7 linked regions of the Macaca fascicularis genome follow. The protein of the gene in region 1 interacts with the protein of each later gene in a pairwise test. Links are inferred from orthologs where the notes say so. Each region holds a gene or a part of one and is shown in the gene's direction. Other genes may lie near its edges. The genes, in order: NDEL1, TRAF3IP3, MRC2, KALRN, CCDC88A, CEP63 and DIXDC1.

Region 1 (3,983 bases):
ACAGTGCTAGGATTACAGGCATGAGCCACTGCGCCCAGCAAAAACATCAATTTCTTAAAAATATCTTAAACATGGCCTGGCCTGGTGCCGTGGCTCACACTCATAATCCTGGCACTTTGGGGGGCTAAGGTGAGTGGCTCGCTTGAGCTCAGGAGTTCGAGACTAGCCTGGGCACCATGGTGAAACTCCATCTCTACTAAAATACAAAAATTAACCAGGTGTGGTGGAGTGGGTCTGTAATCCCAGATACTCAGGAGGCTGAGACACGAGAATTTTGTTTGAACCTGGGAGGAAGAGGTTGCAGAGATTGCGCCACTGTAGTCCAGCCTGGGAAAAAATACAAAACAAAACACAACCCTTAAACATAAGCAGTCATATCTTTAACAGCCTCAAATATAAGTATCTGTACCTTAAAAATATAATTAGGGGCTGGGCGTGGTGGCTTACGCCTGTAATCCCAGCACCCTGGGAGGCCGAGGCGGGCGGATCACGAGGTCAGGAAATCGAGACCATCCTGGCCAACATGGTGAAACCCCGTCTTTACTAAAATACAAAAAATTAGCCGGGCATGGTGGTGGCACGCGCCTGTAGTCCCAGCTACTCGAGAGGCTGAGGTAGGAGAATCTCTTGAACTCGAGAGGCAGAGGTTGCAGTGAGCTGAGATTGAGCCATTGCATTCCAGCCTGCTGACAGAGCGAGAGTCCGTCTCAAAAAAAAAAAAAAAAAAAAAAAAGTATGTATGTAATATAATGAAACTTGAAATCTCAATTCCTGAAATGGTACAAACTTTAATAAATTAATATAAACTTCTAAGTATAAAAAGTTCACTTGTGTACCATCTGAAGTGTCACACATGTACACTCTGGCACGAGTGGGTGAGGGCTGGCGCTCTGGCACGAGTGGCTGGCACCCACGCAGGGGACAGAAACTTGGGGTCCCAGAGCTAGAAATAGGCGACTCTAGGACTTTCTGTGGCTGAGCCCAAGGCCCGGGTGAGATGCTTGACCCGAGAGTCCTTTGGATGGGACACCACTGAAGTGGATCAAATAAAACAATCCAGAGAAAAGTAGCTGGGACTCTTTCAACAGGATGAAACTAGCAAGGAAGGATAGTGACCCGAGGGTGTGGGCCAGGGAGGAAGCGGAGACAGCAGGGCGGGACGTCGGGTGAGCAGGAAGGGGCTGAGTCATGGCCCAAGCTTGTGCCAGCCCGGGCAGCACGGGGCTGCGCTCTTGGCATCTAGCGCATGGATTCCCTCTCGCTGTCGTCAAGTGACCCACTCCCGGGGCAGAGACGCTTCAGGACAGGCAGGGGAGGGAAGTCACCAAGACAGCGGGGAGATTTGTTCTCAGGGACACGGTAGGTGGAAGGGAAACCTCTCTCGACTCCCGGGGTGGTGGCAGCATTTGGAGAAAGAGTGCTTGATGTGAGCTGGCCGCCTTGGAGGATTTTCTGAGTTGGCAGTCTTCATCCCAGGGCTTTAATCCTTCCTGACAGCTGAGAGGCCTCAATTCTTGAGACAGGTAAGGCTAGGGTCAGGGACAGAGTTCAGAGTAAGAACAATTTTATTTTCGGATGATAAAAATAGCACTACTGTTGAAAAAAAATGTGGAAAATGTTAACACACACATAAACACACGCACGCACACACACAAAATACAAGCTGTACACCACTTCTACAGAAAACTACCATTAGTATTTTGGTGTTTATTCCAGCGTGTGTGTGTATATATATAATATGGCCATATAATATATAATTATGTTAAAATGTATAGTTGTACTTACACATATTATATATAATTATTTTTAAGATAAATGGGGTCACATTGTATGAATGCTTTTTGGACCTTTTTTTTTTCAATTGTTATCTTTTAATCCCAATAAACATTCTTTTAGATCCTCTTTTTTAATAGATATAGTAATTTGCTTAACTAATCTCATGTTGATTCATATTTAGGTTGTTTCCGATTTTTCCCTATTATAAAAATTGTTGGCGGGGTGCGGTGGCTCTCGCCTGTAATCTCAGCACTTTGGGAGGCCAAGGCCGGGCGGATCCCCTGAGGTCAGGAGTTTGAAACCAGCCTTGACCATCATGGTGAAACCCTGTCTCTACTAAAAATACAAAAATTATCTGGGCGTCGTGGCATCCACCTGTAATCCCAGCTACTAGGGAGGCTGAGGCAGGAGAATCGCTTGAACCCGGGAGGTGGGGGTTGCAGTGCGCTGAGACGGCGCCATTGCACTCCAGCCTGGGCAACAAGAGTGAAACTCCATCTCAAAAAAAAAAAAAAAGTCTGCAATAAGTGTTTTTACTAAATATATTGGTGGTATTTCCTTAAAATAAATTACTAGCAATAGAATCGACAGCTCAAAGGATAATATTGTTTTAAAGCCTTGTGATAAATATTGTAAATTTGCCTTTTAGAAGGTTGTGCCAATTTGGACTCCCTTCAGCGATATTTGAAATTGTCTTTTGTTGTCACCCCCACCCACTTTGCCTGGATATTATTATAACATTATCTTTACCAAAAGAAAAAAATCTGAAAGTCATCCACCTCTCTGTCATCAGGGTCAGTATCCTAGCTTAAGGCATTACCATCAGCTTGTTTGGAATTCTGCAATAGCCCGTTCACTTCCTTTTCTGCTTCAACTCTCTTCCCTCATGGTCTTCTCCAGAATGGTCAGAGTTCTTTTTTTTTTTTTTTTTTTGAGATAGAGTTTCGCTCTTCTTGCCCAGGCTGGAGTGCAATGGCGCAATCTCAGCTAACCGCAACCTCTGCCTCCTGGGTTCAAGCGATTCTGTAGCTGGTATTACAAGCATGCGCCACCACGCCTGGCTAGTTTCATATTTTTAGTAGAGACAGGGTTTCTCCATGTTGGTCAAGCTGGTCTTGAACTCCTGACCTCAGCCCGCCTCAGGCTCCCAAACTGCTGGGATTACAGGCGGGAGCCACTGCACCCGGCTAGAGTTCTCATTTTAAAAAATATGCATCCATTGCTTTTTGATTTGGTTGTGACAGACTGGCTTGGATCAGATTAGGATTCTTTTAGAGGACGATGTAAAAATTAGATCTCTCTCTCTTACACACACACACACGCACACACACCACATACACACACGGCTGTTTTAAGGCATCAGAAAGCACTCAACATGTGTGGAATTAAATAACCAGAATCCTGGAGAGAAGGGAACCACTTTGAGGTCAGGGGATATTCTTCACTGCTTTTGACTCTCAAGAAATTTGCCAGTTTGCTTGGGAGACATTGAGGCTGGGCAGAAAAGGGTAACCTAAAGCTTGGGCAGTATCACAGGGCTCAAAAATTAGAATCCAAGGCAAACAGAATGTAAGGAACTAAGATCCTGGGGAAAAGGGCATGAGAGAGGCGAGCCCCAATTTCCATGTAGTTTCTTTTCTCAGAAAATTTGCCAAATCATATTCTCTGCACGTGTTGTTGTGAGGGTGAGGGGCAGAAGCAAATCAGAAAGCTATTCTTAAGCTGAGCCTCGCTTTTGGGCTTTTCAGGGTTGTGAGAATTTAAAAATTGGAGTTCAGGGTCTGATAAGAAGAATCTGGTAAATGCCCTAGGGTTTCAGAGAGAGTCCTACAAGACCATGACCGAGGAATCAGGGCAATCCAGAAATAGACCAGCCCACACAAAGCCTGTAACATCTCAATTCCTGATTGGATTAAATGATTTGACCCTACTCTAATGGGCTGGCCGGGGGGTGAAGAAATTTACATATTTTCTGGAGAACATCATTCAGAGCCTCTACAATTTTTGTTTTAACTCCAACCTGTAAGTGAGAATGCGAGTTTTCATTCTACCCAGCATCCAATATTTAACAAAAATTAGCAGATATACCAGGAGACAAGACCAAATAAACAAAAAGCAAGAAAAAACTGATTATAGAACCAGATCTAAAGGAGAACAAGGTATTAGTATTATTGTATTTGAACTCTAATACACTGAAGAAAGTAGAT
Region 2 (3,500 bases), on another chromosome or scaffold:
CTGAGAAGAGGTGAGGAGTGCAGAAGTGCCTAGAGAGGGGAGAGAGGTAGTGAGCGAAAGGGTAGCTTAGAAGCTTTCCTTCCAGGGCTCCCCTGCTATGCTACCCTGAGCCATTTGATAAAAATGGAGGTAAAAGGAGGACTTGAGGCCAGTCTGATTCTTTCTTGTCCTAGTCTAGAGAAAGAAGAGAAGATCCTCTTCTATTCAGCATCCTTTGTCATATTTGCTCCTGCCTGCCTCCTGAAAGAGTTCACTGTTTGAGCATCAACCATGTGCTGGGCAGTAGGATAGGAATATAGAGTCAAACTCTTTGCAGACTAGATTTTGGCCCACACTCATTAACTCATCCCATTTGCTCCAGGGACAACTTAATGAAGACAAACTGAAGGGGAAACTGAGATCCTTAGAAAACCAGCTGTACACCTGTACCCAGGTAAGCATTCTGAAGGATATTTCCATCTCGGGAATCTAGAATTAAATGTGAAGAATGCTTGAACCTCAATCTTACTTTTGAGAAATGCCACCAGATAGAGAATAACACACCCATTCCTACTTACCCAGTTCTGGCTTGGCCATTTTCACTTTAGTCTCTAATTCACTAGATCACTGTCTCCATCCTTCTTCCTCTCCCTTTCTCCCAGTATCCTTCTCTTTGCACCCTGGAGGAATCCCAGCACTAACCACTTTGTCAGCTCCAGGGGAACCTTGAGAATACCTGAAACTGTAGGGAAAGGCCCTTGGTAAAGATTCACAACACCCAGACAGATCTTTACACATCCTAATCTTTGAACAGATGAGTTAGATGTTATAACGAAGTCTTAGAAAATGATTTTCATTCCATGGGCAACTTTTTTTGTTTTTTCTAGCAACCCCTAGAAGAATGTAAAAGCTCTTTTACTTGGCTCTTCTGTAACACCATTTTCCAGCATTAGTAATCTCCTGATTGGCCTAATCTTGGTTTACAAGAGATAGAAAGAAATCAGCTTTCACATTTGAGAAGTGATGGATACCTGACAGGTGGGAAGATGTCAAATAAGAGAATGGGGCGGAACAGGCAGACTTCTCCCATCTGGAGTTAGAGAGAGAAGACAGTTGGCCACATAGATGGCGTCTCACAGGGGAAGAGAGTTTATGGAGTCTATAAGTTTCTTGGTCCACAACTTTCATTTATTCAGTATGACTTGCTTTGACAGGACTAAATAATGCCAACCAAGTTCACAAGAGACCAATATATAATCCAGAATGCCAATCTATTCATTTTCAATAAGGAATAACACATAACCAGTGCCCAGCATGGATGGTCATTGGATGTCCAATAACTGGGACATCCCCTACATATGACCTCAACCAGGTTAATTCCTGAATCTAGTTTTTAATGAAAGTTCCAAAACTATAAGACCCACTCAAATTTAAATCCAAAATTTCAGACAATTCCAAAGCTAAATGGAAATGATTTCATATTGATCCCTAAATTTTTGTCATCTGGTCTACTGCTTACACAGTGGGTAATCCAGAATTGACAGTAAAATCTGCCTGCCTTCTCCGAAATCACAGGACACAAAGATGAAAGAAAGGGAGAAGGCAAGACCCCCAGTGAATTTGCAAAGCTGCACTTGTGTCTCCTTAATCCTGCAGCCAGGAGGAATTTTATAACGCGAATGTATTAATTTTAAACCATTAAGTTCATTAGGCATTGTAGAGAAGCTACAGTGATTTTTTTTTAAAGCAGCAGCAGTATGCTCCCTCCCTGAAGGAGTTTACAATCCAGTAGGAAAAACAGATGAGTCAACAGAGTAGAATAATAGAGGCATGCAGGGTACACTATGTGAACACTATGAACACTAAGAAAAGCTGCCTAATCTATAAGACATTGTGGGATGGGGGCAGTTGGTCAATTTATCAGAACTGATGATACTGGACTGAATCTTGAGTATGAGTAGAAGTTAACCAGTTCTAGGCAGAAGAAGCTATATGGGTAAAGGCAGAAGCCAAAAAAACAGAGTGCTAGGGGATCTGCAAACATCTCAGCTTAGGTGGAAGTAGCATGGGATGAAAGTCTAGGCATGTAAGTGGAGCCATGACAAGGAGTTTGGATGTGATTCTTAGGATGCTGAGAATCCATGGAGAATTTATGCAGGAAGTGGCAAGATCAGATTTGCATTTTAGAAAGAACCTTCTAAATGCGGGACTGAAAAGGGACTGAAGGGAGGCAAGATTTGAAGAAAGGGAAGCTGTTGCATTAATCCACATAACACTACTACTAGAGCCTGAACTAAGGAAGCAGCAGTAGGGATAGAGAGGAGACAGATATGAACTATGAAGGAAACTGTCAAGGTTCAATGACCAACTGATTACTGGAAGGAAATGAGAGAGAAAATGAAGATTGACTCCCTGGTTTAGGGTTTGGAAAAGACTAGATGGATGATGATTCTGGTCACTGAGATAGGAACCCCAAGAAAAAAGAACATGTTTAGAAACATGAGTCCTGTTTAGACATGTTGGATTTCAAGAGCTTGTGGAAGGCCTCAGATATAATGCCCAGCAAGCCTAGGGCACTGTTTATTATGCCCCCCCACTCATCTCTCATTGCCTGAGGGACTCTCCCTGCTAGCTCTACCCTAAAAGAAAAGGCTCACTAGATTACTGGTATCTCTGCCTGGGGGAAGAACCAACTTCTTTTCATTTCTGTATCCCAGTTCAGGATTTGGCACACAGAAGTTCAATGTGTATTTGTTGAATTGCATCAAATTTACAGAAATACTCCCCTTGGGGAATGAAAAAAGTACTACTGGAGATGGAAGACCAGAAAAACAGCTATGAGCAGAAGGCCAAGGAGTCACTGCAGAAAGTGCTGGAGGAGAAAATGAACGCAGAGCAGCAACTACAGAGCACACAGGTATGGGGATGCCACACAGACCTTGGGGTTGGGGACTCCAGGCAGCTTGGGGAACAAGGGAGCCAGCTGCACAGCTCCCTGGAACCTCTCCTCTCTGACCTCCCTCAGCGATCCCTGGCCCTGGCAGAGCAGAAGTGTGAAGAGTGGAGGAGCCAGTACGAGGCTCTGAAGGAGGACTGGAGGACCCTTGGGTCCCAGCACAGAGAGCTGGAGAGCCAACTCAACGTGCTTCAGTCCAAACTGCAGGTACCAGGCACTGGGGGTGGGGAGGGAAGACAGGGTATGGGGAGGAGGGGTGGTGATGAAGAAGCTGTTCTGGATTAGGGACTCCAAAGGCAGCTGACAGCATCTGGCTTTCAGTTCCTCAGTCACCACCTACTTTGTACCAAATTCACTGTTTTGGCTCTGAAATTTAATTTCGAGTTTAGCAAGGATGTCTGCACTGCTCATGCAAATGAACTAAGCGTTCATTGGAATGACACCATCACCATCCAAATGAAAAGAACTGGCTGGAATATATATCAGCCTACTAATGTCATATCCCAACCCACTCTCCAAACTCCATCCCAAAAAAGCATCCAGTTCAGAATTGCCCATTGTTGGC
Region 3 (3,500 bases), about 61 Mb from region 1:
AGAAGAATGACTCTCACTTGTTAAGTGACCCCAGTGTAGGGCGGGGCCTGAGCAGGGCCCGGGCAGGCACAGGTGTGGGCTGGATACCTGAGAAAGATAGGCCTTGGCTGTGTCTGATTTTCTCGACTTTCTTTTCAGCAAGGCACGGGGTGCAGAGAGTAGAAGGGGCAGCTGGGGGGGTTCCATCAGTCAGCTGCAGGGCTCCCAAGGGTCCCTGCTTTCTTGAGCAAGTTACTGGTCAGGTGCAGCACCAGAGCTTCCGGGGCAGGGTGTCTGGCCTGTGGGTGGGGGATTGGGATAGGGGGAGATCCCTGCCCTGACCAGCCCGTTTCCCGAAGGTTCGAGCAGGCCTTCGTCAGCAGCCTCATCTACAACTGGGAGGGCGAGTACTTCTGGACGGCCTTGCAGGACCTCAACAGCACCGGCTCCTTCCGCTGGCTCAGCGGGGATGAAGTCATGTACACCCACTGGAACCGGGACCAGCCCGGTGAGCCCCTTCTTTAATGTGCCTTGGTGAAGTGAGGAGGGAGGTGGGGGTGGACTGGTCCTGCCGAGCCCCAGGGCAGCCCCATAAATGGATCATTGGTGCAGTGTGGTGTAGTGGCTATGAGCACGAGCTCTGAAACCAAACTGCCTGGCTCCGATCCTGACTCTGCCGTCTATTAGCTGTGCATCCTCTGAGCCTCAGTTTTCTCAATCTGTCCAATGGGGATAATGATCCTTTTCTCATAGGGATGATATCAGTCTTAAATATATGTAAAGTGCTAATAGGTGTAAAGAGATAATGTGTGTAAAGTGTCTAGATTACTTCTCTATCTGGGCTCACAAAAAAGAAAAAGAAAAAAATTCTCTATCTGGGCTCATTAAAAAAAGTGTTTAGAATACTGAGCGCAATACAAGTGCTTGTTATTACTATTATTACCATTTCACATTCATTATCTTTCTAACACGTTCAATAACCTGATGAGGTAGATGATGAAGCAGGCTCGGCGAGGTTAAGCAGCTTGCCTGAGCCCTCACAGTGAGTGAACCCAGAGCCAGGGCTCTGCCTCCATTCCCTTCCTCCCTCCCGGCCCCAACCCCAGAGAGCATGTCTCTGAAGAGGTGGCCAAACTGGTTCCCAGTGTGAGGGCTGTGCTGGTGCCCTGCTGGGATGTGAGGGAGGACCGGACTATGAATCCTTCTCAGAGCCTGGGTCTCCCTTCCCTCTCCTTCAGGGTACAGCCGTGGGGGCTGCGTGGCCCTGGCCACTGGCAGCGCCATGGGGCTGTGGGAGGTGAAGAACTGTACCTCGTTCCGGGCCCGCTACATCTGCCGGCAGAGCCTGGGCACTCCAGTGACGCCGGAGCTGCCTGGGCCAGATCCCACACCCAGCCTCACTGGCTCCTGTCCCCAGGGCTGGGCCTCGGACCCCAAACTCCGGTATTGCTATAAGGTAGGGCAGCCTGTTGGCAGGGTGGGGGGCAGGGGGAGGACAGGAGCAAAGAGACCGTTTGGGTGGAGGTCCCAGTGGGTCCAGCCACAATCCAGAGACACACCAGCCTGCGGACAGGTGATTTCTGGTGAGGACTTGTCCATGGAATCTGGAGGCCTGGTGCTCAATAACCATTTGAGGAATTGAGGGAACCACAGATCATTGATTTCAGAGGTTCCCAAATGTTGGGGCCAGTCTAGCTGCTCTTAAGAATTGCTTGGGGAACCTGATAAAAATAAAATCTAGGTGTCACGATGGAGATTTAGATTCATTAGGTCTGGATTGGGCCTGGTAGTCTGTATTTCTAATCCTGCTAGGTTTGGGAGCCACTGGCAGAGTCCAAGGTCTTTTATTATGCACAGAAACTGAAGTCTAGGGAGAAGAAGGGACTTACCCACATTAAGCTGTGGCTCTACTGGGATTAGAGCCTGGATCTCCCTGCTGGTCAGGGGATGGGGCTCAGGGGCACTCACGAGGAGGTGACTGTGCCAGCTCCCCTCCCCGGACCTCATCTGCAGGATTGTCCTTAGCTAGCCTGAGCCCCGTCCAGTGAGGCTCCAGCCCCTTCCTCTGCCATGGTGGGAAAGGTAGTAGGTGCCCCCTGAAGGGTGGGCCGGTGGGGACAGCGTAGACAGCTGGACTCTGCCCCTGCAGGTGTTCAGCTCTGAGCGGCTGCAGGACAAGAAGAGCTGGGTCCAGGCCCAGGGGGCCTGCCAGGAGCTGGGGGCCCAGCTGCTGAGCCTGGCCAGCTATGAGGAGGAGCACTTTGTGGCCAACATGCTCAACAAGATCTTCGGGTACTGAGCTGGGCTGAGGCGTGGTAGGAGGGCACCTGCTCACATGTAGGAGCAGGCGTGGCCGACAGACCCGTGGTTTCATTGGGCGAGGGGTGGGAATGGCAGAGTGTGGGTGACCCCAGGGAGGCCTATATCTGCTGCTGGTGCCAGGACCATCTTGTCCCCACTCAAGTAGCCATGGTGCCCTGGCGTCTTGGGAGAACATGCTTGTGTGAGCCACACACTCATAGGAGACTGTGTATTGCTCATCATCACCCCCCCAGCAACGTCCCAACAGACTCACAACCTTACATATGTACCTCCCACCCCATTGCAAAATCTCCTACCAGCTGGTCCTGGCAACTGTTTCCCCTCACCTTACACCATCCCACAATGACCCACACTCCTCAATCAACAGTTTTTCCTGAGAGATGGGAGGAGAAAGGCCGCAGCTGTGAGGATGTGCCCATGGGCATCCCTCTGAGACACCGTCTGTGTCCTGGGCTCTGAGCATCAGCACCTGGAATCCCCTAGCACTGGGAAAATCCAGACAGATCCAGGCTTCCTGATAGCTTAGTTGAAGGGATCTCTCCTCTCAGCAAACATCAAGATTACATTATTTGACTCATAATTACAATAGCTCATGGTCATCACTTCTCACCACGTACCAGGCACTGTGCTAAACATAATCCTCACTCAGGCCTCCCGACAACCCATAGATGTCAATCCCTGACCCTTGTGAGTTGATAAGTTATTTGCCCAAGTTCATGGGTGAACCGATACTTGAATCCAGGTTTATTTAACTCCAGAGCGGTAGATCCCTGCTGCCTCCTCATCTGAACTTCCTAAACTCTGTAAAGTAAAAGCCTGCAGAATCTTGCTGGGCAGGGCACCCTCGCCCAAAAGAAACCCAAACGAAGGGGAGGGGCCACTGCCTTCTGAGTGGACAGCTTAGTCCAACTCTCTCCAGCTCTGTCTGTGGGGAGAACTTTATCAAAGTGGCCTCAACGGTGTATCGATGGGGGTCAATGTGAAGCCCAGATGGAGAGGCCCCAGGCCCTGGGGGCTGCCCCGGTCACAGCTGCAAGGGACAGGAGGCACATTCGAGTCCCTGCCCCTCTCACTTCCCATCTCTTCCGTCCCCACTCCTGGGTTGTGCTGAAGTGAATCAGAACCCGAGATCCACGAGCAGCACTGGTTCTGGATCGGCCTGAACCGTCGGGATCCCAGAGGGGGTCAGAGTTGGCGCT
Region 4 (4,071 bases), on another chromosome or scaffold:
GCAGACTTTATTAAGTACTCAGGTCTTAAAGACCTTCTGTTTGGTGGGCTCTGCAGTCACTAGAACCACAAACACACTACTGGATAATTATTGTTTAATTATTACTTAAAAACTGATGGGCACAATACAATCACCACATTAATTACCCCATACAGCATCTGTTTTCTTTTTTGCAGTCATCCCCACTCCTCCCCAGCCCCTCTCCCCACTTTAATTGAAATTCAGCTTGCTGTAACACCTCCTTTCTCCTGGCCAACTGGATCTCTCCATTCACATGAGGGAGAAGAACAAAACCGAGAAGGCCCCAGGGATTAGAGAGTTTTGACAGCTGTCCAAGAGGAGCACGGAGATAGGGCCAAGTACGGAGGCAGGACAGAGACAAACGAGGGACAAGAGAGTGACGGAGGGAGGGAGAGATAGGCAGGGAAACATCACAGGAGCATTAAACTGGACAAAGAGTCACAGAGACAGGCGGAGATGTTTAAAGGGGCGCTGAAAAGGGGAAAAGGACGAGAAAAGACAAAAAGGAGAGAAATTGTGGCGAGCTGGTGAGGAAAATGTGAGAGGCTCAGGAGGGCAGGGAGACAGAAGAGAGTTCGTCAGGAAGGAGGGGAAGAAAGGCCGGCCTCTAGGGACAGGTCAGTCCAGCTTGGGGACCGATCTGAAGATCCGGAGAAGGCGGGCGGGCAGCCTGGTGTTCCCCTCACACACCTGGGAGTGGAGTGGGCGGAGGAGGTGGCCGCTGGGCCGGGTGGAGCACTGGCGTCGGGAGCGGAGAAGCAGAGCGCGCAGCGCCCGGGCCGCAGAGCCCCTGGACTAGGCTGGCTTGCGCCCTGCAGCCCCGGGCTCGCCCGGCGGCCCCGCCCCCTCCTCGGCCCGGGCTTTTCCTGCCGAGCTCAGGAAGCCGGCCTAGCACAGCCTCGAACAATAGCTCGGGACTCAGGCTTCGCTCCCTGGGAGGCCGGCGCAGGGAAGCTGGGACAGGGGGCGTCGGCGCCGCCGGGGGCCCGCAGCGAGCCCTCGGCCCGGGCTGGAGCTTCAGTTCAGCTCGGCGCTCCAGGGGTCATTGTTGGCGGCGACTGAGGGAGCGGGAGCCGGGGGAGGAGCTGGGGAGGCGGCGGCTGCGGCGGGAGCCAGAGGGGGAGCCAGAGAGCGAGCGAGCGAAGGAGGGAGGTAGCGAGTGAGCGAGTGAGCGAGGGAGGGAGGAGGTAGAGAGACAGGGAGGGTGGGAGGGAGGAGGAAAAATAAAGAGGAGAGAGCGGAGCAGGGCTGAACAATAGAGACAGGCAGACAGGCGAGCAGGAGAGCCAGCTGCCGCTGCTGGGGGACAGCGGGCACCCAGGCAGCCCGCGCCCCGGCCTCGGTTCCCGGCCCTAGCCAGACAGCAGGCGGCCAGCGCCCTGGGGAAGGGGTACCATGGGGGAGCTGGCGGCAGGCACCCCTAGCCCGCCGCGCGCCTCCGCTTGAGGGAGGCTCGGCGTTCTCTGCCCCTGCCCCACCGCCCAGCGCCCGCCCTCGAAGCCCCCCTGGCCGCCAGCTCTGCGGCCGCGGCCGCTGCGCCCCGCGCCCTCCGCCCATCGGGCGCCTAGCAGCCCTCGGCCCCAGGCTTCTCTGGCCCCCGGCTGCCCTCAGACGCCCTCCCACAGTCATGAACCCCCCTGAGGGAGCAGCGGAGGAAGGAGGAGCAGCCGACTCGGACGTGGACGCCTTTTTCCGGACAGGTAAGCTGGGCAGGGCGCGGGGGGCCGGGGCTGAAGGCTGCTGCCTCGGACGCGGCGTCTTGGACAAGTTTGGGGAAGGAGGGCTGTTGCTGCCGCGTGCGTGTTGGGGGCCAGTGCCCCCTCGGCGTCGGGGCGGGAGTTGCCGAGATTCTGGTTGTTATGGCAGTGCTGGCTGCGTTTGGGGAGGGCGTGGGGGCTGGGAACTCCGCGCCCCTCCGCCTTCATCCCAGTTGCGGGAGTCCGTGTTGGGGAGGCGGGAGGCGGTCCCCTCGGGCCGCCTTCTCCCGGAGCGCGGGGATGGGCGGTGTTGGCTCACTTTGCAGCGCGCCGCTCCGGCTACCGGCGTCCCGGCCCCTCCCTTGGCTCCCCCTCCCCCGTGCCTGTCAGCGGGGCTCCCGGCGGCAGCCCTGGGCCGGCACCCCTCCTCGCCGTCGGGGGCCCGGGGCCCTGATGTGCACAGAGGGGCGGCGGGGACCCGGAGCCGCGCCGGCTGCAGACTGACAGGAGCGGGGCGGACGACATGGGTCTCGCCTGGTGCGTGTGGGGAGCCGGCCCCTCTCACTTGAGAGGCAGACCCGGCTGGGAGGGCGGTGGGCGCCTCGGACCTCCCCCTTGTCCTCCTCTTCAGTTCTGGGAACGGAGGAGCTATTCATAAGAATTACTCATTCCTGGAAGTGTGAGTTAGCGTCCCTCTCATACACACCCACTAAGTCTCTGCTTGCTGTGAGGTGTAGAGCCCTGAGATGTCTTTCTAGATCTTTGCGCCCCTGCCACCGTCCATGTCCCGGGTCCATTGCTCCTCCTGCTCCCTGGCTACACAGTCCCTCCCGGGAACCGGCACTGACCATCCTCGTTTTCCACCACCTGTGACCCTGTTTCTCTGATGGCCAGGGATTCCCCATCTCCCTGTACCTGTGGCTTCCACTAGCTTCTGTGTGTAGCTCCCCATGTCCCCACATGTCTGAAACCATTTTGTCTGGAATCTTTGTCCCAAAGAGTCCAGTAAGTTACCGGGGTCCCATGCATCTGCTCTCCCTTTTGGAAAGTTGGATTAGAGGACATGAACTGGTGGGGGTCAGGGGTCAGGTTAGCTCTGGAGGGTCTCTGCACATCCATCTGTTTCCTAACCCTGTTACCTTGCCCTGGAGGTCATCTCTAGGGAAGGGGGTGGGGTGCTTTGTGGGGGAGACTTGTGGCTTTGGAAGTCAAGACTTGATTGGCTCATATGTTCATTCTCTAGTTGATGTGCAGAGGAAAAAGCTGGATGACAGGAGCTGCTGCCAGGGTCTGGGGAAATCAGAGGGAGCCCCTGTCATTCTATTCTGCTTCCTAGGTCTAAGCCTACCTTCCTTCTCTTCCTCCTTCCTTCCCTTCTTCCTCTTCCTGAGACATGGATTATATTTTCTCTCTCTTCTTTCTTCTCTCTCATACACAAACAGCCCAGCACCCAAAAGCATGAATTCTAAAGAGGTGGAATATAGGGACAAGGTTCTGGGGGCTAAGTGATATCCAGAAATACTCATTATGAGGACGAGGAAGGGAGATATGGGAACTCATAACTGGGGCTAGAAACAAATTGACCAGTCAATCAAAAACCCAGCTGATCCCTCTTGCCTCCCAACTGGGGCAAAAGTCTGCATTTTCTTAGCTCTAGGGGAAAAATCTTGAAGTGTGAGCCTTTCCACCTTCCCTTTCAGGACCCCACTTTTACCTTTTGGTGTCCACTCCTCTTTCCCCTTTGTATCATCCAAACACTAGGTCCTGTTCATTTTCTGTTCCAGGCACCTGTAGCAGAGCTCAGTTCCTGGAGGCTTATTTCTGACAATAAATTCACACAGTGTTAATGGTGTTAATGGCCAATAATAGTCCAATGTGTAACTTTTCCCAGGGCCTTTCAAAACACAACGTATGGCACACATTATCCAACCCTGGCTCAAATCACAAAATAAATAGCAGACTCGGGTCAGTCTCCTGTGGGACTCCTATGTTGGGGATATTCTCCCTCCTCCTTGGGCAGCCCAGTGGCTGAGCTAAGTCTGATGTGCACTTAGTATCAGAGAAAGGTTAAGTCCTTGGTGCATAAGGCTGGAAATGACTGATGACCTGTAACATGTTGCAAGAGGGGGTGGGTCAAGGACTACACCCACCATGTGTGGCCCTCTATGCTTGGCTCACTGACTCTCACCACACTTCTGGTCTCTAGCCTAGGCTCTTGCTGGGGATTCGTCTTTTTTTGTTGTTAATTTTTATTTTAGGTTCAGGGGTAGAAGTGCAGGTTATATAGGTAAACTATGTGTCACAGGGGTTTGGTATACAGATTATTTCATTACCTCAGTAATAAGCATAGTAC
Region 5 (3,500 bases), on another chromosome or scaffold:
ACCTATATTGCTTGGATTCATAATTACATTTTAGAAAATTGAGCTGGCATATGAAGTTCTGTAAGGTGAATCTTTTTTTTTTCTTGTAGACTTCCTTTATAAATTTCCATTGGAAAAAAATTACTTCGTTTCATATTTTAGATAATGGGGTTATAAAGACGGTCAGCCATATAATAGGCTGGTAATTTTTGTGTTTGCCAGTATTATATTTGCTAACTTCTTTCTTTTCCATTGTAAATTTTTTCCTGCTCTAAGATACCCTCTCAGCTATCTCTTCTCTTCATTATAGACTATAGGAATTTTTTTTATTCCTAGAGACACCTGGAATAATCGGTAGAGCTTGTACAATTTAGTTTCTAAAGTGCTAAACTACAATAGTATTTCACATATATATGTGAAAAATGGTTCACCTCTTTGTGCTGAGATGGTATATAAATACGTCAGTACTGTCAGTATTCCATTTTATTTTTTCTAGTATACATTTTTTCATCCTTTTTATTTGAACAAATGAACAAAAGAGAAATACAAAATCATAACGCATCTTAAAGCATTTTGTTTCCTCAGCTTCAATTTTATAGTATAATATGTGGGTCAAATCCTGACCTGCCTTTTACACAGTGACATGCAGTGTATATAACATAAAGCCAATAAAGTGAATGTTATATTTACATATAGATATGTTAAGAGTGATCTGTTGTGATTCAGTTGTTAACTTTTTATGCATACTGCAGGGTAGACCAGTTATGACCTTTAGTATATTAAAGTTTTATTTCTGTTTTCTGGAGGGTTCTTTGTACTTTGCTGTTGCTGATTTTTTATGAAATTTAATTTAGAAATAATCCTGAAAAGATTAATGACAAGTATTTTAAAATATAATAATCATTGATTCGCATAGTAGTTCATTTGTTATAACATTGAAATATGGCCTTACGGAAAAACGGAAAATGTTATGTTTTGTTTGGAAATGCTCCAGGAGTCTTATAGTTGAAGTAGAGTTTTAATTAGCATTTTATATCGTGAGAAAAATAAGAAAATATCTGCGTTAGGTCTGTTGTGGACTGCAAATTTCAAACAGATGGTTAAGATTGTTCCTGTAAACCTGCTTCCCTTTGAAATATTTGTGTTTGGAAATTACTTAGTTTTGCACTATCTCTGGGACCACCACTCACTTAGGTATATATTTGCCTTTGGGTAAATTAGAAAAGATAGATCTCCATGGTTGGACACAGCCCCATTTATTCTGGTCATTCTGGGAACCTTCAAGCAGTATTAAAACCATACAACTGACAATTCCTTTCTAGTTTTTGTGTTAATAAATATATTTAGAATAGGATATTTTATTTTTAGGATATTATAGTGCAGACAAGACACAGGCACAATATTAAGGTTTTAGTATTATTGCCTTCTTTCTGATGAATGTCTGTTTACAATTTGGGATGGGGAAAATGTTTTTTTTTTTTTCTCTTTTAAGATTGTTGGGGTTTTATGGATTGTACTGCTAATAAATACTCATAGTATAAAATTCAGTATATTATAGAAATATGTTTAGTATTGCTATTGTTATTAATATGTTTGGTTTCGGTTTTTGTTTTTTAAGAATGCTACACTGCAAGCAGAGAAGCAAGCGTTGAAAACTCAACTGAAGCAGCTTGAGACACAAAACAATAATTTGCAGGCTCAGATTCTTGCACTTCAGAGGCAGACAGTATCATTACAGGAACAGAATACCACTCTTCAAACACAGAATGCCAAGCTTCAGGTTGTAATATAATATTTTGGGAATATGCAACCAAACTCTTAAATTATGCTATTAAAATAAGGGAGGGTAAACATGGAAACATTGTTTCTTAGCGAATGAACTTAAAGATAAATGAAAATGTTTTTATTTAGTGCCATGCCTAAACTTTCACACATCAATTTTTTAAATGTCAAAGGCTTTAAATATTAATAAATTCAGTCAATACATCTAAATAGAGATAAATTATATTTGTGGTCTTTCTACCATTTCATTAAGTTGATTGTAATAAATTAGGTAGAAATCCTTGTTTGAGAGTATGGTTGCAGCATACTATTCCTTATTTCATTTGTATAGCTTTTTTTATCAGTTTAGTTACTGGAAAACAGGACAACATGAGAATTTTGTCTTTAGACCTGTCCTAAGTTCAAAGGATCCATACTTAACACCGCCAGTGTCTTTCCAGACAGAACAATCAGGTGGGGGAAAGTTCAACTCTGAAACCTCTTAAAGAACAGAAACAAGTTCCCTCTCTGAATCTAAGAATTCTTCTTTCTGTAACCCTTTTCTTTGATCAGCATCAACACTTTGTTTGATAAAGAAAATATTTACTTAATTTGGACTCTTGAAAAATTTCCACAAGTAATTTTTCACTTCTATCAACTTCTATCACCAAATTCTAGAAATGATAAACTAGCACTTCAAATTCTATACATTTTCATTTGTAATATAATAAAATGGTTGCTAATCACCTTCATTTAAAATAAATTCAACCCAAAACATAAAATATATATATGTCTAATATACACACACACATATATGTATGTATGTGTGTATTATAATACTTCCAAAAATCAAAATTAAATGGTAGCGTTATTCTTTGGGAAACTAAAATCAAAATCTTCCCAGTATAATGTAAATATATCTGCTGTGATTCATTTAGAGCTTGCTTTATTTAACATTGTAATCTTGTATTTTGAAAAAAGAACGTGAACTATTTTTCTTATGTCTGATAACAACACATATTCTCATAGGTTGAAAATTCTACCCTTAATTCCCAAAGTACCTCACTTATGAACCAGAATGCACAACTCCTAATCCAGCAGTCTTCCTTAGAAAATGAAAATGAATCGGTAATCAAAGAGCGAGAAGACCTAAAATCTCTCTATGATTCTCTGATCAAAGATCATGAAAAGCTGGAACTTCTTCATGAACGTCAGGCTTCAGAGTATGAATCTCTTATCTCTAAACATGGAACTCTGAAGTCTGCCCACAAAAATCTTGAGGTGGAACATAGAGACCTTGAAGACCGGTAATTTGTTATATTTTGTTGTACTGTGAATTTAAAATGAATTTTCTTCAAGTAGTATAATAAATTTTATATGTTAAACACATCTAATGTTAGTTTACGTAGGAAATGTATATACATTTACCTGTGTTTTAAATGATAATTACTCATTTCCTTCATTTCTAAAGTTTCTTTTTTGTTAATATTATAAACCAAATGCCTTTTTTCCCCCAGTTACAATCAGTTATTAAAACAGAAAGGACAATTGGAAGATTTGGAAAAAATGCTCAAAGTAGAACAGGAAAAAATGCTGCTTGAAAATAAAAACCATGAAACGGTAGCTGCAGAATACAAGAAACTTTGTGGTGAAAATGATAGGTAATAAATACATATTATATATAACAAACATTTTATGTAGAAAGTATATACATATATATGTGTGTGTGTATATATATATTTTTTATTATGTATTATTTC
Region 6 (3,500 bases), on another chromosome or scaffold:
CGGCTCACTGCAACCTCTGCCTCCCGGTTCAAGCGATTCTTCCTCCCCAGCCTTCCAAGTAGCTGAGATTACAGGCGTGCGCCACCACGCCTGGCTAATTTTTGTATTTTTGTAGAGACAGGGTTTCACCATGTTGGCCAGGCTGGTCTTGAACTCCTGACCTCAGGTGATCTACCCGCCTCAGCGTCCCAAAGTGCTGAGATTACAGGTGTGAGCCACCACGCCCTGCCCTAAGTTCTTATTTCATTGAGAAGACAGCAGCAATTAAAGGAGAACTTCTTAATCTTTCTGTCATCAAAACTACCAGTCTTCCCACACCTGTGCCTTTCTGCACTTCTAAGACCAACTACTCCACTTGTGTCCTTTTTCTGTAGTTATATCCTTTCTTTTCTACATCATCAAGTTCTTTCTCTCCGCTGAATTATATCCACTGGTATAAAATATGCTATAACGTCACCCATCTGGGGGAAAAACCATCCCTTAATCCTATATCTCCGTCAAGTTACTTCCACATTTCTGTACTTCTCTTTAAGACCAAATTCTTCAAAAGAATTGTCTATACTGACTCTACTTCTTTACCTTTCACCTGTTTAGCAGCCCTTCACTTAGGTTGTCCTCCCTGCCACCTTGGAAGCAGGGTAGGAAGGGGTAACAGTTGACACACGGTGATCCTCCTTTTTGTTCTGCTGTGGTGGTGTTACTTCCTTGGGTGTTAATTGAATCCTGACTAATGCTATACCATACCTACCTAAACTCTTGTCATTGTCGTACTTATAATTTTTTTTTTGGTTTTTCATACCTCTCAACTTTTGGATTGGGAAGAGTGTGATATTTTGTTTTAAACACATGACTCATTATCATTTGTACACTGGCATTTTCTGTATGTAAAAGATAAAATTACTTTTAACATGAACTGTTAACCTTTAGGCAAACAACAAGAGAAATATCATTTTACACTTTTTAAGTTATCTTTAAGTAATACATTTTTTGTTTTTACATTTATTTCTGGTTTTGGAAACCAGTAAGTATTTTCTTTTATCTACATGTTAAATGCACAAACATACATACACACACATATTTTCTGCTTTATTCCTTTTGGAATACTTGGAGTACTTGAGATAATCTTTGTTATCATTGAAGTATATGTGTACTCTTCCATTTGACTAAAATTAAGTTTATTATTTTTGACATTGGGACAACAATTTACATTTTTATCACAGTTTTTTTATTGATTGGCTTTTTAGTAATATTTAAATGAGTGATGTGATGTTTAAGATATTGGCTGAATATTTTTTGGACATCAAGAATGTAAATTATATAGTCCAATTTATAGGTTTCGGGATTTTGGTTTTGTTTTAAATATGGGATCTTATTTTTGTCATACAGTTTGGAATCTGTGAGTGCAACATGTAAACAGCTGAGTCAAGAACTAATGGAAAAATACGAAGAATTAAAGAGGATGGAAGCACATAACAATGAATACAGAGCAGAGATTAAGAAGGTAAAAATATGCATACCTAGGATTGCAAAATTGTATGTGTTTATGGACTGAGCTGTGGGTTTGGAGATTATAGGGGTTATTTTTAATGAGAGAAAAATGTAGTTCAAGGGGCCACTTGATATTTAGGAGTGGAAGAGTACGTGGAATGTGCATAGGGAAAGTGCCTTCTTTCTCTGGCATCCCCCCGATGCCCAATAAATATTTTTAAGATAATTGAAGGCTGTTCCCTTTGAACTTAAAAACTTTATTTTAAACATGTTTTAATGAAAAGTTTTCTAAAAGACATACACTTAGTGTTTGCAAAAAAATATGAACTGTCATTTAATATTTTCTTATTGCCTAAACATAGTATTTATGGATTGTCTCCTGTGCTGTGATGTGGTTGGTATCCTTGTCAGCTATTGAGGTATGCAGAGCTGTTTGTGTCTATATGAGTGGGTCCTAACTGTCCTATTTGTTGTTTTGTATTTTTTGTTACTTCTTGAAGATTACTTCTCGCTTGTTTCTTCCTCTTGTTCTTTCTGTTTGTTATCCTGTGGACCAAGATACCATATGAGCAAAACTTTTAGATTCACAACTAAAAAAAAGAATGAAGGTCACAAGTACTGTCCTCTAAATAGTGTGCATGGACCTTGATTGTGGTCCTCAGCACTTGAATAACCCATCTCTCCCTGTTTTGAGGTATAATAAATGATTGTAGGTATAACCACCTGACCTTCAGTACAGATATGCAACTTGGTTAATTGCTAATTTTTCTGCAGATTTAATTCAGGAGAAATTTAATGTCTTGAGATAAGGTAAGCTTTTATTTTATTAGCTGGTAACATATTATTCTATCTAAATGCTTTCTCTTTTGGTGCTTTCTTTTCTGCTTTCTTTATAGTTGAAAGAACAGATTTTACAGGGTGAACAAAGTTACAGTTCTGCACTAGAAGGAATGAAGATGGAAATCTCCCATCTAACTCAGGAGTTACATCAGCGAGATATCTCTATTGCTTCCACCAAAGGTTCTTCCTCAGACATGGAAAAGCGACTCAAAGCAGAGATGCAAAAGGCAGAAGAAAAAGCAGTAGAGCATAAGGTGAAGCCTGAACAAAAACTTTTTTAAATTTGAAATTTGTTTTAAAGATGGAATTGATTAAAGACATAATTTTCATAATATTTAATTCAGTGAATTTTTATTAGATACCTGCTTTGAGCTGAGGGTATGCTGGTTAACAGAGAGTTTAGTGAGGGTGGTGCAGAGGTGAGAGTAGACACAGACAAGTAAAGTGACTATATCAGTGGTGTATGATGAGAGTCACTAGAGATCACAAGCAGCCTGAATCTAGACCACTCGCTGCAAAGGCCTTCCAGAAGGTGTGATAGCAAAGCTAAGTTAGGAGCGAGCTGGGTGAGGGGAAGGAAAAGTATTTCAGGCACAGGAAAATACAGAGGTCTCTAAGAGATAGTAGAACACGCTTGCTGTGGTTGAAACACGCTTGCTGTGGTTGAAACTAGAGTACACGTGGGATGAGTGGAAGGTATGAGACTGGAAAGCAGAGACTGGCTGCTGAAAGGCTCTGTTAGCCACATAAAGGAGTTATACTGTGACCTTGAGGTCAGTAGGCAGTGGCCACAAGCAGGAGTAAAATTCAGTGGTCTTTAAATGGAGAATAAGCAGGGAGACAGAGCACCCAGATGCTGTTACAGTGGTAAGATGGTGGCCTGAGCAGTGGGTAAGGGAGGGAGAGATAAATGGATGAATTCTGGAGATACTGGGCTGGTAAAAATGACTGGGCATTGTATTTGATTGGCAGGGAGGGTGAGGTAGGCAGAGTTAAGAAATGGTGTTCCACAGGATTTAAGCTTAGGCAACTGATGGAAAGTGATGCTCTTTAATTAAATAGAGAAAAGACAGGGATCTAGTTTGGCGAAGGATAATGAATTTGTGTGAAAAGTACACAGACTGGGGAAACTGGTGGAGAGGACTTTGGTTTAACACATTTGTTTGGAATAA
Region 7 (3,968 bases), on another chromosome or scaffold:
AAGAGGTTGTTAGGTTGAATAAGAGCCAATACTGACTTTTCTTGCTAAGGTACTAATCAGGGTTTGAGGAGGAATCGGGGCCTCCCAGAAAATCATGAGTGTAGACTCCTAGATCCTTGAGCTGCCTGTCACTGATTGGCTGCGTCCTTGGACAAGGCCCTGACCTTCTCTGAGCCCTAATGCTCTGTAAACCCTTCCTCTCCATCTGGGATCACGAGGTGGAATGTAAAATGAATGTTTTTTCAGCTTCGAGTTTTCCTATAGAAACAAGAGTTTGCACTGAGTTGCAAATGACTAGTATTCCTAAAAATAAATAATCAAGGCTATGACTCGAATAGCTAGAAACAGCCTAGAATAGCTTTCTGTTTCACTTGAGGAAGCTTTTTACCTAACTCTTTCAAATGCACCAGGACATTTTTGCTGTCTTTATTTTAATTAAAACCCATTTATTTTAAAACACATTAAAATATGGGTTGTATATTTTAGCAGTTATTTTATAAAGAATGAAATAGGAAAATTTTGGAAAGCCTTGGTCATCCTTGATGTTTCTTTTGTGATCCTGTGTGATGTTTAGCACTGTTCTATTGAATGTGTTCTGATACCATCAATAACTAAAGTTCTTTCTATCCTCTTTTCCCCCTTTCTTCCTCTGCTCCTTCTTCTCTTTCTTATTTCTTTCCCTTCTGCTTCCTCTTCTTTAACTTGACCTCACTGTCCAGGGCCCATGTGGAAAAAGGTTGCTGTTTTCGGTTAGTCTGGGGGAAAATCCTATGATTCACTCCCTTTCCCACCCACCTTCTGGTGGGCCGTTTGTGGCCTTAAGTTAGCAGTGTGTGTGTGTGTGTTGCGCACCCTCCCCGCGGGCACACCCGCCTGCAAGCCTGGGGTGTGTGTGTGTACGCGCGCGCGCAAGCGACTGCAAGCGCGGCTGCAAGCGCTGGCATACACCAGTCGGGCCGCCTGTTTGTCAACGTGTGTGTGTGTGTGTGTGTGTGTATGCACGCAGCGCGCACATAGAGCAGAACGTTTGCCTAAAATCCGTGTGTGTGTGTGTGTGTGTGTGTGTGTGTGTGTGTGTAGCGCACGCACACACGCCCGTGCTGCGGCCCGGGGGGGTGTGTGTGCGCGTGCGTGCGGGCGTGCAGCGCGCGCCCCCGCCAGCCCGCCTGCCCGTGCGGCTTTCCCGCAGGAGAGCGGGACTTGGGGCAGCCCGGCAGCGCCGCTTCACCCAGTGCGCGCCCAGCTGTTTCCATAGGAACCGCGACCGCGCCGGGCCCCTCCAGCGGAGGCCCCCGTGCGAGCATGCCCAGTGCAAGCCGCTAGTTTGGCTCCAGTCTAGGTTTCCAGTAAGTGGCATGCGGGACTCCGGAGGGATCCCAATGAGCTGAGCCGAGAGCCTTTGTGTGCAGAGGGAGGAGGAGGAGGCTGCGGCGGCCGCCGGGCTGGAGACCCCGCCCGGGGAGCCCCCAGCAAGAACAATGCTAGCTTGCCTGACCCGAGGGAACTTACTGGACGTCCTGCAGGAGGGCTTCAATGAGGTAACTGTCCTGCTCCTCCCACTCCTCAGCTCCCCTCCCCCAGCGTCTCCCGCCCAGTCTCCGGAAGGGGTCCTCTTCCTCCCCCATCCTCTGGGGACCCCAGAGCAAATCGCCCGCAGAACCCCAAGGGGCTAAGGTGGTACTTGCAGGGCAGATGGGTGAACCAGGAGAAATCAGAAGGGCTGCCTGCCCACAGCTAAGTTGGGCCATGACCTTCCCTGATAGCTTGCTTACCTGAGCCCAAGAGGACAGGACCACAAATTCAGAAATCACCTTCTTCCAGAAGAGGGGGTCTCCATCCTCCCTAGAGTTTCTCTCCCCAAGGAAATCCTCAGGGAATCCCTGGATATTTGGCAAAAGTGCTCATCTATATCAGGAGCTAACCAGCGGAGCCAAGGGAGGGTGGAGTGGTACTGCATTTGTAGAAAGTTTGAGAGGGCAGGGGACTGTAGATGGTCCATGTGAAGTGCCCTCTTCATGTCTGAATCTCTTTCTGAGTCCGGGGCAGTAGATTTCTCTGCAATCAAGGACGTGGTTGTCAGAGAGGAGCTACTGAGCGAGAGGGGACCTGGGTCCTGGGCCCAATCCCAGGGAGCCAGCGTGTGCACCCGTCCATGTGAGAGCAGAGGAACTGGGGCCTCAGTCTGACAGGCAAGATGGGCTAGGGCCGACAAGGGGTCATTTCCTCTCCACTTGTTTCTCTTACAATTCTATTTATTGCATTTGCTTTTCTTGTGACCCAGGAAATTCTGGTTTGGGATGCTTCCCCCTCAAGATTGTCTTCCATATGTCTTCCACTGCAGCTAAGCCCTACTCCTGCGGGTTGTCTCAGCGCAGCATCCAGGGAAACCTACGCTGTTAGTTGTGCCTTTCTTCATTTCTCTCTCCCTCCTTTTCCTTCCATCTCTTTCTTCTCTCTGTGACTCTCTAAAATTTAAGATTTTAAAAATCAGTTTTTACTCAACATATGAATACATTGTCCTCTTAAATATGAACATCATAGGCAACACTGAAGTGTCTTTGGTTCCCCCCACCCATTCCAGCCTTTTCCACACAAATAACCATTCTCATGAATTCGTGTATAAGATTTTATTTCTGCGGCTGCACTACAGCCTCCTTCCTTAATTCCTGTTTCTAATTAAGAAGCTCTGCAGCCTGACCTGCCACAGAACACTCCCCCGTTCTGGTCCCCATCCCCTAGCCTTGTTCCTAACACAGAGGAAAACTGCAGAAATGCTGTTCCAACCTAACCGAGTTGGAATTTTCCTTTGGCCAAGGGGTATCACAACCTTCACTGAGGGGCGGAGCTTGCATCCTGTCTGCACTGTAGGGCACCTCATCTTTGCATCATTCCTGTCTGAACACATGTAAGGGGATTGTTAACAAAGAGCTGTAGTCTAAGAGTTGAAACACAGAAGAGCCAGGAAGCCTACCTCTGAGTGATTCCCATATTCTGGTTCCTCTTTTCTCACTCTCTGCCTTTGGGCTGCCCCTGGTCTTTAGCTGCGTAAGTCTGACTCATTCACCAATTGTGGCAGAAGCTCTTTTAGTTGTCTTATACCTCCTGCTCCAACTTAAAACAACAACAACAACAAAAAAACTCAGCTCTTGATGGTCCCACTGTCTATTTAGGAGCAGGAAACCAGCACAGAGCTGGTCCTAATCTTTGTTTTCTGCTCATTTTCACTTCGAAACCTTTCGACTAAAGAGCCACGTAAACTAAGAGGCTTGGCCGTCTGTTTCATGCTTTGGTGCTTCCATAAATATCCGCTGACCTCCAATTCTTGAAAAACATAAGGGCCTAAAGGAAAAGGGGAATGGGAGAATCATGTTTTTGTGGTGGTAATGGAATCTTCATAAAAAGCACAGATGCATAACTTTTTAATTAATTGGTCCCTAGAATAATGCAGTAGTGCCTCTTTTCCTTCTCTGATATTTGATTTTTCTACCCATCCTGTAAACTTCCCTCCACCCCCTCCACAAGCTAATGTACATCTGTTCCTCTCTGTTAGATTTGAACTCTGATAGCCAATGAGTACTTTTGGTTTCTCTGAAAAATTGACATCATCTAAATAACAATAACAGTAATATGTTAAATTTGAATGGTTTCTTACAGTTTAAATGATTCTTTCACATTCTATATTAAATAATTCATTTTACGTACAATATTACATTTAGTGCTACTGAATAATAGTGTAATTGGTTATTTTAGTATCCATGGGGCCCTATTTGACCTATTCCAGCCTCTAAGGTTGCTTAATAGATCCAGTAATATTCAATTTATTTTTTTAGAGTCCTTGAGATAAGGATGTAAACAGGGATTTTAAAGCTCGTGTCAGAATACGCTTTAATTCTTCTGAGAATTCCTACTGAGGCTACGAATACCACACATGTATCCAGTCACCTCCTGGGAACGATCCAAGTATATCT

What was found.
Region 2: the proteins of NDEL1 (region 1) and TRAF3IP3 interact in binary tests that used the Homo sapiens proteins (3 or more experiments, as listed by UniProt). The two-hybrid records come from large-scale screens. The link is inferred for Macaca fascicularis from reciprocal best matches to the Homo sapiens genes NDEL1 and TRAF3IP3.
Region 3: the proteins of NDEL1 (region 1) and MRC2 interact in a two-hybrid assay, tested with the Homo sapiens proteins (2 studies listed by BioGRID and IntAct). The link is inferred for Macaca fascicularis from reciprocal best matches to the Homo sapiens genes NDEL1 and MRC2.
Region 4: the proteins of NDEL1 (region 1) and KALRN interact in a two-hybrid assay, tested with the Homo sapiens proteins (2 studies listed by BioGRID and IntAct). The link is inferred for Macaca fascicularis from reciprocal best matches to the Homo sapiens genes NDEL1 and KALRN.
Region 5: the proteins of NDEL1 (region 1) and CCDC88A interact in a two-hybrid assay, tested with the Homo sapiens proteins (2 studies listed by BioGRID and IntAct). The link is inferred for Macaca fascicularis from reciprocal best matches to the Homo sapiens genes NDEL1 and CCDC88A.
Region 6: the proteins of NDEL1 (region 1) and CEP63 interact in a two-hybrid assay, tested with the Homo sapiens proteins (2 studies listed by BioGRID and IntAct). The link is inferred for Macaca fascicularis from reciprocal best matches to the Homo sapiens genes NDEL1 and CEP63.
Region 7: the proteins of NDEL1 (region 1) and DIXDC1 interact in binary tests that used the Homo sapiens proteins (3 or more experiments, as listed by UniProt). The link is inferred for Macaca fascicularis from reciprocal best matches to the Homo sapiens genes NDEL1 and DIXDC1.

Annotation. Positions count from the first base shown.
Region 1 is NC_088390.1:8,477,260-8,481,242, forward strand, and holds the start of NDEL1 (nuclear distribution protein nudE-like 1), read left to right. Parts: upstream 1-1,183; 5' UTR 1,184-1,359; intron 1,360-3,983. UniProt on the Homo sapiens protein: Required for organization of the cellular microtubule array and microtubule anchoring at the centrosome. May regulate microtubule organization at least in part by targeting the microtubule severing protein KATNA1 to the centrosome.
Region 2 is NC_088375.1:67,597,420-67,600,919, forward strand, and holds part of TRAF3IP3 (TRAF3-interacting JNK-activating modulator), read left to right. Parts: intron 1-361; coding exon 362-433; intron 434-557; exon of another isoform or gene 558-721; intron 722-2,755; coding exon 2,756-2,896; intron 2,897-3,004; coding exon 3,005-3,142; intron 3,143-3,500. UniProt on the Homo sapiens protein: Adapter protein that plays essential roles in both innate and adaptive immunity. Plays a crucial role in the regulation of thymocyte development.
Region 3 is NC_088390.1:69,154,562-69,158,061, forward strand, and holds part of MRC2 (C-type mannose receptor 2), read left to right. Parts: intron 1-338; coding exon 339-487; intron 488-1,217; coding exon 1,218-1,435; intron 1,436-2,128; coding exon 2,129-2,271; intron 2,272-3,414; coding exon 3,415-3,500. UniProt on the Homo sapiens protein: May play a role as endocytotic lectin receptor displaying calcium-dependent lectin activity. Internalizes glycosylated ligands from the extracellular space for release in an endosomal compartment via clathrin-mediated endocytosis.
Region 4 is NC_088376.1:159,202,860-159,206,930, reverse strand, and holds the start of KALRN (kalirin), read left to right. Parts: upstream 1-1,271; 5' UTR 1,272-1,648; coding exon 1,649-1,721; intron 1,722-4,071. UniProt on the Homo sapiens protein: Promotes the exchange of GDP by GTP. Activates specific Rho GTPase family members, thereby inducing various signaling mechanisms that regulate neuronal shape, growth, and plasticity, through their effects on the actin cytoskeleton.
Region 5 is NC_088387.1:66,493,896-66,497,395, forward strand, and holds part of CCDC88A (girdin), read left to right. Parts: intron 1-1,597; coding exon 1,598-1,759; intron 1,760-2,769; coding exon 2,770-3,047; intron 3,048-3,257; coding exon 3,258-3,401; intron 3,402-3,500. UniProt on the Homo sapiens protein: Bifunctional modulator of guanine nucleotide-binding proteins (G proteins). Acts as a non-receptor guanine nucleotide exchange factor which binds to and activates guanine nucleotide-binding protein G(i) alpha subunits.
Region 6 is NC_088376.1:37,457,688-37,461,187, forward strand, and holds part of CEP63 (centrosomal protein of 63 kDa), read left to right. Parts: intron 1-1,386; coding exon 1,387-1,501; intron 1,502-2,384; coding exon 2,385-2,582; intron 2,583-3,500. UniProt on the Homo sapiens protein: Required for normal spindle assembly.
Region 7 is NC_088388.1:110,863,675-110,867,642, forward strand, and holds the start of DIXDC1 (dixin), read left to right. Parts: upstream 1-1,168; 5' UTR 1,169-1,478; coding exon 1,479-1,538; intron 1,539-3,968. UniProt on the Homo sapiens protein: Positive effector of the Wnt signaling pathway; activates WNT3A signaling via DVL2. Regulates JNK activation by AXIN1 and DVL2.